Linked DNA regions of Arabidopsis thaliana. The protein of the gene in region 2 interacts with the protein of the main gene of each other region in a pairwise test. Each region holds a gene or a part of one and is shown on either strand. Other genes may lie near its edges.

Evidence for each region.
Region 1: the proteins of NRP2 (region 2) and HON4 interact in a two-hybrid assay, tested with the Arabidopsis thaliana proteins (one study listed by BioGRID).

Annotation. Positions count from the first base shown.
Region 1 is NC_003074.8:6,168,183-6,173,689, forward strand, and holds HON4 (winged-helix DNA-binding transcription factor family protein), read right to left. Parts: upstream 3,824-5,507; 5' UTR 3,377-3,823; coding exon 3,167-3,376; intron 3,081-3,166; coding exon 2,199-3,080; coding exon of another isoform or gene 2,127-2,198; exon of another isoform or gene 1,744-2,126; intron 1,656-1,743; coding exon 1,590-1,655; intron 1,487-1,589; coding exon 1,202-1,486; 3' UTR 781-1,201; downstream 1-780. Other genes in the region: HAL3A (HAL3-like protein A), read right to left, coding at 112-447.
Region 2 is NC_003070.9:6,480,396-6,485,624, forward strand, and holds NRP2 (NAP1-related protein 2), read right to left. Parts: upstream 3,252-5,229; 5' UTR 3,069-3,251; coding exon 2,952-3,068; intron 2,648-2,951; coding exon 2,525-2,647; intron 2,430-2,524; coding exon 2,379-2,429; intron 2,291-2,378; coding exon 2,219-2,290; intron 2,096-2,218; coding exon 1,982-2,095; intron 1,890-1,981; coding exon 1,828-1,889; intron 1,706-1,827; coding exon 1,642-1,705; intron 1,556-1,641; coding exon 1,496-1,555; intron 1,400-1,495; coding exon 1,352-1,399; intron 1,131-1,351; coding exon 1,071-1,130; 3' UTR 718-1,070; downstream 1-717. UniProt on the Arabidopsis thaliana protein: Acts as a histone H2A/H2B chaperone in nucleosome assembly, playing a critical role for the correct expression of genes involved in root proliferation and patterning.

The DNA.
Region 1 (5,507 bases), on a different chromosome or scaffold from region 2:
AGGTACAACAAAAATATATTGTATGAATTGAATCCTCCATGAATGTTTTCACAAGTCACACAATTGAATCTAAGTAGTTGGTTTAGGGTTTTCGTCGATTTGTTAAATTACCTTGCCTAAGGTGTTAGCAGACAAAGGAGCAATGACTAAAACATCAGCCCAACGTCTAAGCTCGATGTGAAGGACAGGATCACCGATCTTGTTCCAGCTAGACCATTCATCTTCATCAGTATACAGAGTCACTTCTTGTGGGAGAGAGAGTTTATCGAGGAAATGTAGAGATGATTTCGTAACGACGGCTCTGACTTCTGCCCATTCGGTGAAGCAATGGCAGAGATTGCCGAATTTGATAGCAGCGACGCTTCCACTTGCAGCGAGTAGTACACGAGGCTTCCTCGGTGTGGTATTCACTTCCATGTCTTGTCTGTCTCTTTTCCCATTCTCCATAGCTCTTTTACACCTTCAGAGATCTAGCAAAGTAGCCAATGGTTCGGCGAAGAACCCTAACCGAAAAATTGATCTGGTCGAAGAGAATATCAAAATGTTTTAGAGGGAAGAGAAAGAGAGAGGCCCGAGAGGACAATCATTTTAGTTGCTGGTCAAATGGGCCATTGACTCACTCTTTTTTAGGCCTCGGTCGTATGGGCTGTGAATATCGATATATTTCATTTTATATTTACTTCGTTTGGACTGCAATTTCGATTCTGAGTTCGACTGTTGTGTTAACTCTAACATGTTTTCGAGTCAAAGTTATATAGCTTTTTGAGCCAACGTGAGATGGAAATGAAGATATTATTAGTAAGAAATTAAGTAAGAGTCGACCTGCTAAAACCGTTGGGTGGAAAATAGACACGAAAACATCTCCACAATGTGCAAAGCGGAAGCAGAGAGCAGAAGACAGATTGAAAAAAACAAAGGCACAGACGCAATAAGAGATTATTAAAGATGGAAGACTAGAAACATCGCTAATTTACAGCCACGTCTTATGGTTTGGTTAAAGACACACCGACAACAACACCATTAACGAGTCTACTATTTCTTCTTCTGCAGACAACAAAACCTAGAAAAATTAAAATTCCTTATAGATTTTTATATAATTTAAGATGCGATTCCAACACCTAAAACAACTAAAAAAAAACACTCCTAACGCCAAACACCAAGGCTATTATGTCTAGGTTGTTTTCTAGATCATTATTATTCTTCAGAACAGAGCTTCTTGCATTGCCTCTGCTTCTGTCTGGGTCTGTGTTTCTCCTTCTCTTTCTTGTCCTTCTTCTTGTCCTCCTTGTGTCTCAGCAGCTTCAGTTTGTTGAGCTTCAGTCTGTGGTGCTGCAGTCTCCTCTGGCTGCACTTCTTCCATAACTTGTGGCTCAACGGTCTCCGTCACTGTTAGTGCTTCCAGATCTTTTATGGCTTGCACCACTGCTTGATTCTCACTTGTAACTCCATCCTTCAACACCTTCACAATTTCTTTCACTTTCTCTTGCTGAAATCATTTACATACAAAAACCAAACATAAGCAAGTAGAATCGAATACTTTAATCAAATAAAGGACAGCCAAACTGTTTATTGTCAACAAGTAGACTTACAAAAATATCAAACTTCTTCTTGAGTTCTCCAGAATCTTGTGTCCCAGTCGTGACTGATGTTCCAATCTAGGTTCATGAACCAAAAAATAAAATTGTTGGATAAAAGTATAACATATTCAAGAAAGACATTAATGGTTAAATTAAGAAGTCTTACTTTAGATCCAATTGAACACGTTACTAGTAAAATAGAAGATACAGAGAAGAAGACACTATGTGATGACTTAGAAACCATTAAGCCGGATTAACACACTAATTGATGATAAAATTATTCCTAGCTATAGCGATACATTACCGACTATTTTGGTCTTAATTATCCAAACGAAAATTAAAATAAAACAGAGAAACCAGATAAGGATAAGCCAAAAGTAAGGGACACGAAAATATAATAAAAACACTAGATACTAGTCAGATTTTGGATACGCGAAAACAGACAACAATGCTCAAAAGCGGAAAGTGACATTGAGTTTGAATTCCACAATGATTGCAACACAAGTATCAAACTTTATCAATCTAAATTGACGGCGGAGCAGTGAACAATCATGCACAGTAAACGTCAGATATTGCAAAATCGAGATCACGAATACAGAATTGGGGGATGTGAAAATTTACCTTTCTGGGTCTACCTACAGGACGTCCTCGTCCTCTCTTAGGCTTCATAATAAGCCTACTGATAACACCACCAATCTTAGGTGGTCGTCCACGTCCACGCTTCATCCCTGGCGCAACCGCTGCCACATTTTCACCACCTACTGGAGCAACACTAACAATACTGCTAGGGTCAACAACTCTCCTAGGCCTTCCTCTGCGTCTAGCACCATTAGCAACATAAGGATACACAGAGGCAGTAGAAGAAACGGATTTGGGCTTCCTCTGTCTCCCAGCAGCTCGACGACCCGGTGGTCTACCTCTACGTTTCATAATTCCAGCCATAACCGAAGCTTGAACGATTGGTGCAGTAGCAGGAGCAGCAGAACCGTTCTTCCTTGGACGACCAGGTCCTCTCTTCGCCGACTCTGTAACCGGAGTCGGAACCGGAACAGGTGATTGAACTTGCTGCTGTTCCCAGATTGGCTGTCCGTTAGCCTGGACTTGATTGGTCGGTGGAAGTTGCTGTAGTGGTTGTGGTTGAGATTCAGGTTTAGGCTTAGGAGGACGACCACGACCTCGTTTCAGAGGCTGAGAAGCAGAGCCAGAAGCCATGGGATCGTTGTTACTTGAATGGAGAATCTCAGATCTGGGAACATCGAGACCTTGAGCGGCGGCAGCAGCAGCAACAGCTACACTAGCAGGAGGAGTAGAAGAACCAGCAATTTTGTAAGATTTCTTAACCATAGAAAGAACACCACTGGTCTTCAAAGTCTTGAGATGGTGAGTCAACAAAGCAGCATGAGCAGAAGTTAAACCGGTGTAACATCTCTCGATGTATCTCGAAATTGCCATCTTGCTCGAACCATCCGGTTCGTTTAACGCCGCAATCGCAGCGCAAATCATCTACACACAGAAAAAAAAAATTAGTAACAAAAAAAAAAGTAACTGAATTTAGTTATAAAGGAAGAGGCTTTTAAGATTGAACTTACTTCGGAGTAAGGAGGGTGGGGCATTGAAACATGTGGAGATAACTGAAACATCTGCGGTTGCGGGATTTGCGTTTGCGTTTGCGGCTGCGGTTGGAAGACGACATGGTTATTGTACGGATTTGGTCCTAAAGGATGATGATTGGAGGTGGGAAAATGAGGAAAAGGGGTGAACTGAGGAGGATGATGAGGATCACCAAGAGATGGATCCATGGATGTGAGATTTTTGCAGAGCAAAGAGAAGAGAAGATACAGTAAAAAAAAAAAAAAGAACAAAAAAAAAAAAGACAGAGGTGGAAGGTGAGATTTAGATTTAGGGTTTTTTTTTCTTTTTTTTTGTTTTTTGCTCTGAGAGCTCTTTTGATTTTTTTGTTTTTGTGAAAATAAAATTTTTGTGAGAGAAATAAATAAAGTTAGGTTGGGGAGAGAGAGGCGGAGGAGTAGAGACGAAAGGATGAGAAGAAAGATTACTATTAAATCTAACCGTTGATTTGTTTTCTATCGACGGTTTTGACGAGGATCGATGACGTGTCATATCATTTTGTCTTTTATTTTAAGGATTTTGTGTTTCTTTACTTTGATTTTTTTCATTTTTGCCTCTTAGAATTTTGCTACATTTTCGCTCCAATGTAATAAAAAATCACCAAAATTTTAAAAATGGACCGCCAAAATTTTAAATTATTTTTCTGAAAAGAACTCCTCGCTTTCAGTGTAAAACAATTTTGTTGATTTTAGAATAACATCGAATGAAGTATATAGCAAACACTGTTACATTAAGTAACCCATGTAACAAACTCCATTAAAGAGTGTATGATAAGTAAGAGATGTATTGAGATGAGTATGGCAAAACAAATGCAATTACTAACTTCTATGTCCTCTGTTTAGGATTTGAAATCGATACATTTACATAAAATTTAGTTTCAAATTTATATTTTCTGTGAATTTTGTTAGAGTATATATCTATTTGCGACCCTTTAACTTAATCACAAAATGATACATCAAATATGTTTTTCATTAAGGAAAAATTACAAGACATTAAAATATTTTTAAACAGTAATGTATGATATTTACATTTGAATTAAATTTTAACTTTAGTTGCATTTTAACAAAATATTTGATATATATATATATATATATCTATATATATATATATAAATGTACGACGTAAAACAAAAATAACAAATAAATGTAAACCTCTTATTATAGATGATGAAAGATAACTTTATGAAAAAAATAAAATATGGAAAAATATATTTACCAAGTGCTAAATACATTTTTCTTTTGTCTTGTATCACAAATAAGCGTGATATATTTAAAAGAATAATTGAAATATTAAATGATGAAAGATAAGTTTTAAAATTTTCAAAATATGGAAAAACATGCAATTAGTAAGTATTGATTGCAAATTTTAATTTGTTTTGTACAAAGAAGCGTTATTTATTTAAACATTATAATAAAAATGATAAATAGTGAACGATGAATTTAAGAAAATTTAAAATATGAAAAACTAGAATTTATAATTGTTTAATGCAAAATTTATAACAAACAAGCATTTTTAACGGGTAATGTAAAGGATACAAAGTGAGCGATAATTTTAAAGATATTTAGTGGTTTTACATATAGTTAATGTTTTTTTTTTTTTTTTAGAAGAACTTTTTTTTTCATTTGACATTTTAATATTGTTTAATGAACTTTTGTGTATTATATGTGTGGATTCAAAAGGGTAGTTGGATAGATTTCACCATTTGAATTTTGAAGTAGCAAATCTCAAATAAAATCAATGGGACTAAGAACAATTGATAAATCTATGGGGGAACAAGTGTCACACCTATCTCCTTGGTAAAGCCAGCCCATACATCACGGTACCCAAAAAGAATCATCCAACAAGAGAATTGTTGGTACATATTACTGACATTACAATACGATATTATAAAGAGTACAGTACGTTTATGCTTATGCATTAAGCGCAAGTAAAACCCGATATATGCTCATCATTCAAACTCCAAGTATCACCTGAGTCGTGTCGTTTTCATACAACAATTTATGTATGCTCATTCTTTTAATACTAATATATCTGTGTTGTGATGTGTGCATGCGTGTGCTCGAATACTTTCAAGCAAGGGTCAAACAAAGTGCGGCTGGTAATAGACGATCAGAAGACACAATCACCAGACACCAAGTAAGCAGATGACAAAAGACGATCACCACACCAGAATTCCAACAAAACAAAAGATTATGATATGTTTTGTCGCCTCTGATATGTCACACTACACAGTACACACAACCTCTTATAAACAACACTTTTAACGGGCCGAATTATCAGCCTTCAATATAATGTTTACTT
Region 2 (5,229 bases):
ATTATATACTCCTTAGTATTTGTAATCAGTTAACTTGTAACGTATGGTGCCAATTAATATTTTAATTGTTAACGAAAAATAGTTATAAACTTATAGTTGGAGCTGCGAGTAACGGTTAAGAAATTAATAATACATTTCCCACCAAAAAAAAAACGGTTTCAATTAATTGGAGATAATGGCTGCGAGTAGTTAATACTTTTCAGGTGATTCTTGTAGTTAATGGCCTCTTAAGAAATGAGAAATTAAATCTTGTTGTAGGTTATTAATAAAGTTGTTTAGAGAGCAATTTTATTAAATACCACTTTTTAGTAAAACTAGGTGATTCTATGATCAGTTTTTTACTCTTTTGTTTCTCAAGACTGTTTCCATTCGTTTCGGTTCGGATTTAACCGGTTTAGACACTCATAGGCGTAGGTCGTTCTGAAACATTTGAGTCTTTAGAGACTTTTTTGTTCTTCTGTACAACTAGAGCTAACCAGAATCTGAAATTTTTCGAGCATCTTTATACTATACAATAGATATTACAACTTCTTGCTTTGTTCTAGTGATCTGAAAGAGGAACTTACAGGAGTTAGTAATCATATTACTAGGTTAATCAAAGACAAAAAGTATATACATACCTTCAGACCAAACAATAAAGATACCAAAGGGTTTCTCAAAAATCCTGATATAAGAGAACAGAGTCATGTCACCAGACAAAATAAACTCCGTTCATCTGTCAAGCAGATCGGCTATATTTTCACCATAAACACACAAATTCTCTATTCAGTAAAGTCAAAGAAACACAACAGACATGAAATTACAAATATAATTCTCTTTAAGAAGACAAAAGATGAAGAAGCTATTATGTAAGACTCAAAAACCATTTAAGCAGGATTTTCCAACAAAAGGCTGAAAATGGTTTCTTACAACAAGATATAACTATTACGGTAAAATAAAATTAAAAGCTTGTCTGTTGTCGTCATAATCCACTTTTGCTTAAAATTAAAAACCTTTCAACACACAAAACTTTACACACTCTGTTATAGAGAAGACATGTAAGCAAATGTGGTTTCTGGGTATCCCTGCCATCATTCCTCACCAACTTCGTCTTCTTCGTCATCATCTTCATCAGAGTCACCTTCTTTCTCCTAGAGACAGATATGGTTTTGAAAAACTTATCAGGCACAACTTATAATGGAATCTCCAGAATTTAAATGGTTTCAGGCATTAATAATAACACAATGTTCTGTCTTAAGATATCTCTATCTAATCTTTCATCTCATTATGCACATTAATTAGCATATCATAGATGCAGTAATTTTTAAGTAGAAAACTCAACCAAACAAAGGAAATAAGATGAGGCTTTTACCTCTTCATCTCCATCATCGTCTCCATCAAAGTCCTCTTCATCAGCGTCCTACAAAGTTACATTTAACAATTTACCAAAATCTCCAAGCAACTTAAGCGCTCTAAACCAAGTAAAGACTGAAAAATGATATGGTGAGTAGCTTACATTGTTGAAGTAGGTGAGAGGGTTGGGCCACAAATCTTCCTTGATGATATCTGCAACCTGCTACAAGACGAATTTCCGAGTTCAAGTTGGGCCATACATGGAGTTACTCTTACAATCAAGTCATAAAAAAAATATAGGATCATTACCTCGTCTTGCATCTCATCCTCAACATCCTCCTTGTGTTGAGCATCACTAAACCAGGTAAAGAAGCTGAAAAAAGACAGGTAAAAGATAGAGAGTCCTTAGACGTGTAATGGCTAATAAGAATGGTGCCAAGAGTTTTAACTTGGATCTATGATGGGTTTCAGTGAAATGGGGGAGATGAGAAATACCTCTCTTCAGGTAGTGCACGTTTGTTTCCATTCTTCTCATGATTCACTCCATTCGCCAGGCCCTTGATAATTGAGAAATATAGTTAAGAATAATCTCAAAAACAGTGACAGCTTAAGAAATAAACTTATTTTATGCAATAAAGATCCATTTTACTTTGCCCTCTTTCCATTTGATAGGCGTGGCTGTGATTTTGGTTGTCCCTTCTTCGAGAAAGGTAAAAGTCTTTGTCAGTTTTCCATCTTCAAAAAATGGATTGGGATTGAAGGACTGCAATTCACAATGTAACAACAATCAGTAAACGAATAAACTAAACAACTTGGCTTTCTTAGATCAATCAGAGATATATCAATCAAATTATGATAAAGTCGCATAATAACAAAAGAAACTTACAAAAGTGATAGAGTATCCAGATTTCACATCTTTGGCATCCTCAACATCAAGAGAGCTAAGATATTTGAAAATCTGTTCAAAAACAGAAATATCGAATCAACAGGACAAAGAATGAAAACTGTGAATCAATCAATCAAAATCTAATAAGGAAAACACAAACCTTTTGGTCTTCTTCAGTCAAAAGTTCACCTAAAGCAGGGTGACTCAAGAACTACAACAAATGTAAATTTCCAAAATTCCAATTAGAGAAAACATTGTTTAAAACTCTGAATTGAAAAAAAAAACAGAACAGAGAGTCTGGCTTACAGCAGTTAACCAGAAATCAGGGATGGTTTTGATGATCTCGTTACGCTTGTCATAAACAGGTTTCCTTATCACATTATATTTCTGCTCCACTTCCAACACTTCATCACTAGCCTTTTCATTTATCTATCAAAACCAAAACCAGAGAGGTCACTGAGAGATTGGACTCAACACAACAATTCAATCCTCAAACAGTTTTATTGACAAAGTCAATTTGAAAGCGACCACATTTCACTCGAAAGACACAACAACAACATAATTACTAATAAAGATACTGACTTTTCTTTATAATTTGTCCACTAGAAATCTGAATCGAGAGAGAGTCCAACACAACAATTCTCATTGATCAAAGCAATAAATGAACATCGACTAAAGGAAAATTCACGAGAAAATTTAAACATGGGGATTGTTAAAAATTTTTGGAATTTACCTTCTCGAGGTCGTCTTGGATCTCTTGAAGCTTTTCGATTGAGAGGACAAGCTCTGCATCGATTTGCTCGACGTTTTCTTCTTCGGTTTTCGCCTTCTTGCTCTTGTCTGTCACCATTTTCGATTCCAATTGAGAAAACCCTAATTGCAAAAAACGCAGAGGAATTAGACTTCCTCTTCCCTCTTCTCTCTGGCTTCCGAGAGAGCAACCGCTAAAACCCTAAAAACTCGATTGTGTGATGCGTGAATCTGGGCAAACTGATTTAGGGTTTTGGGGGTTTTGTTAACCAATTAGATTACGTCACGTTACAGAAGAAGGGTATTTTTGTCATTTAGAGCCGGGAATTTCATATGTTTCTTTTGTTTAGGTTTTTTATTTTATTTTTATATAATTGGTTTTGTGATTTAAAAATAATAGAATCTACCCATCCATATATAGATTAATGGTGATTAAGTGATTAACAAAAATATATCTAGCTTAAATGATGTGATGTTGTTTAAGTTTTTTTATGATTAAAGAAAAAGTCATGTGTTGACAACAACAAAAGTCATGTATTGACAACAACAAAAAATTCATGTAATTGGTGACAAAAACAATATTAGGTAACAAATCAAACAATACAATCATGATGATTTCTTAATAACTTATCTGATCAACCCACCCTTTATATAATTTTCTGTGTGGATTAAATTAAATTTCTTATCCATGGGCTCAAAATGGGCTTCCCAGGGAACTTTACGGGCTACTGAAATAATGTAATTGCAACAGTCTATACATGGGCCACTATTAATAAACCTCTTGAGACCCAAATAAAATGTTTGTTTTTTTTGGTGTAAAGGAACCAATGTTATTAAGTTAAGTTATTAAGTTATTAACTACTCCATTTTTATACGTTTAAAAGGATCACATTTATGAATAAAAAGGTGTCATATTATTCATATTCAACGGTTGATTTATTGGAGTTGTTTGGCTCTAGTTGGGTATTTATGTGTATGTATATCAGACAAAACATAATAATAGGTATACTTCTTTTTCCTATTTAATATCGAATGGAATTGGGTAAGGTGGTCACAAAGTAATTAATATTGTTGAAAACATTCTTCACAGCTGGTGGTACCACAATACTTGATTTAAATACATAGAAAATATTAGTATAGACATAATTTTCGGCTTCCACTAATTGTAAACAAATATGGTAGTACATTAATTTCGTTATATTCTGTCGAACCATTAGAAACGAATCAGCAATGAATTATTTCGCTTAATATTAGTTTTTTTAAGTTTTGTTCTGTAAAGAAAAAAAGAATGTCAAGTTTTGTTCATATGTGTATTAGTTAAAATGTTTATACAGTAACATCTTAATATGTAGATTTATTAAGATGTTACCGATATGTATTAAAACTTTATTCAATAAATATAGTGCTGTCTAAGGCGGTCCAATTAATTATATATTTTGCATCCAATGCCCATACTCTGTTTATTCGTTATTTGAACAAATTAGCTCGTTTCGAGTTATTGAATTGGTCCCAATTTGAGAACATTCCCCTTCACATTTACTACTAACCAACCCTAAGTTTGCAATTGCATGGCTACAAATATATATCCGACGTTAATGCCAGTTTTGTGTAGTCTCATAGAGACTAATTGATATTTCCTTGTCTCGACGTCAAGTTCTCATCGTCGTCTCTTATTATCCACATGCTGATATGCATAATTTGTAGGGTCGTGACTCACGGGAGGGATCTATATAATTACGATGTTTTATTATATAATCCATTCCAATTAATGCGTAACGTCCATGGATGTGATATGGTGAAACATGTGGTGTGGAAATGATAATCCTTATATTTTAGTGTCATTTCTTAAAAGTTGCAAATATGGTATAACATGCAGAAACATAGTTAAGAACTTAAATCATATTCCAAAGAAGATAGTAAATCTAATAAGCAACATGTATTATTGTACGATGGTCGAAGACTAAAAAACTGGAGTGAATATATATATGTTCAGTGGTTACTTTGTATCAATTTTGTTCCTGGATAATTTGGGTTTCTGAATTGAATTTCAAAATTATTATAGAATTCATCGTAAAATATAGTGTGACTGGTTAGCTAGTGTCTGATCAAACTTAATTTGGACGTCAATCTTGGTTGGATCTTATGTAAATTCCCCGAAAATCACCATTATCATAGCTTTGTTTTATTATCCACTATTTTTTTTCAACGATAACCATAATTGTAGGGTTTATTATATAAACCAAGTGACTAAAATTATCAAA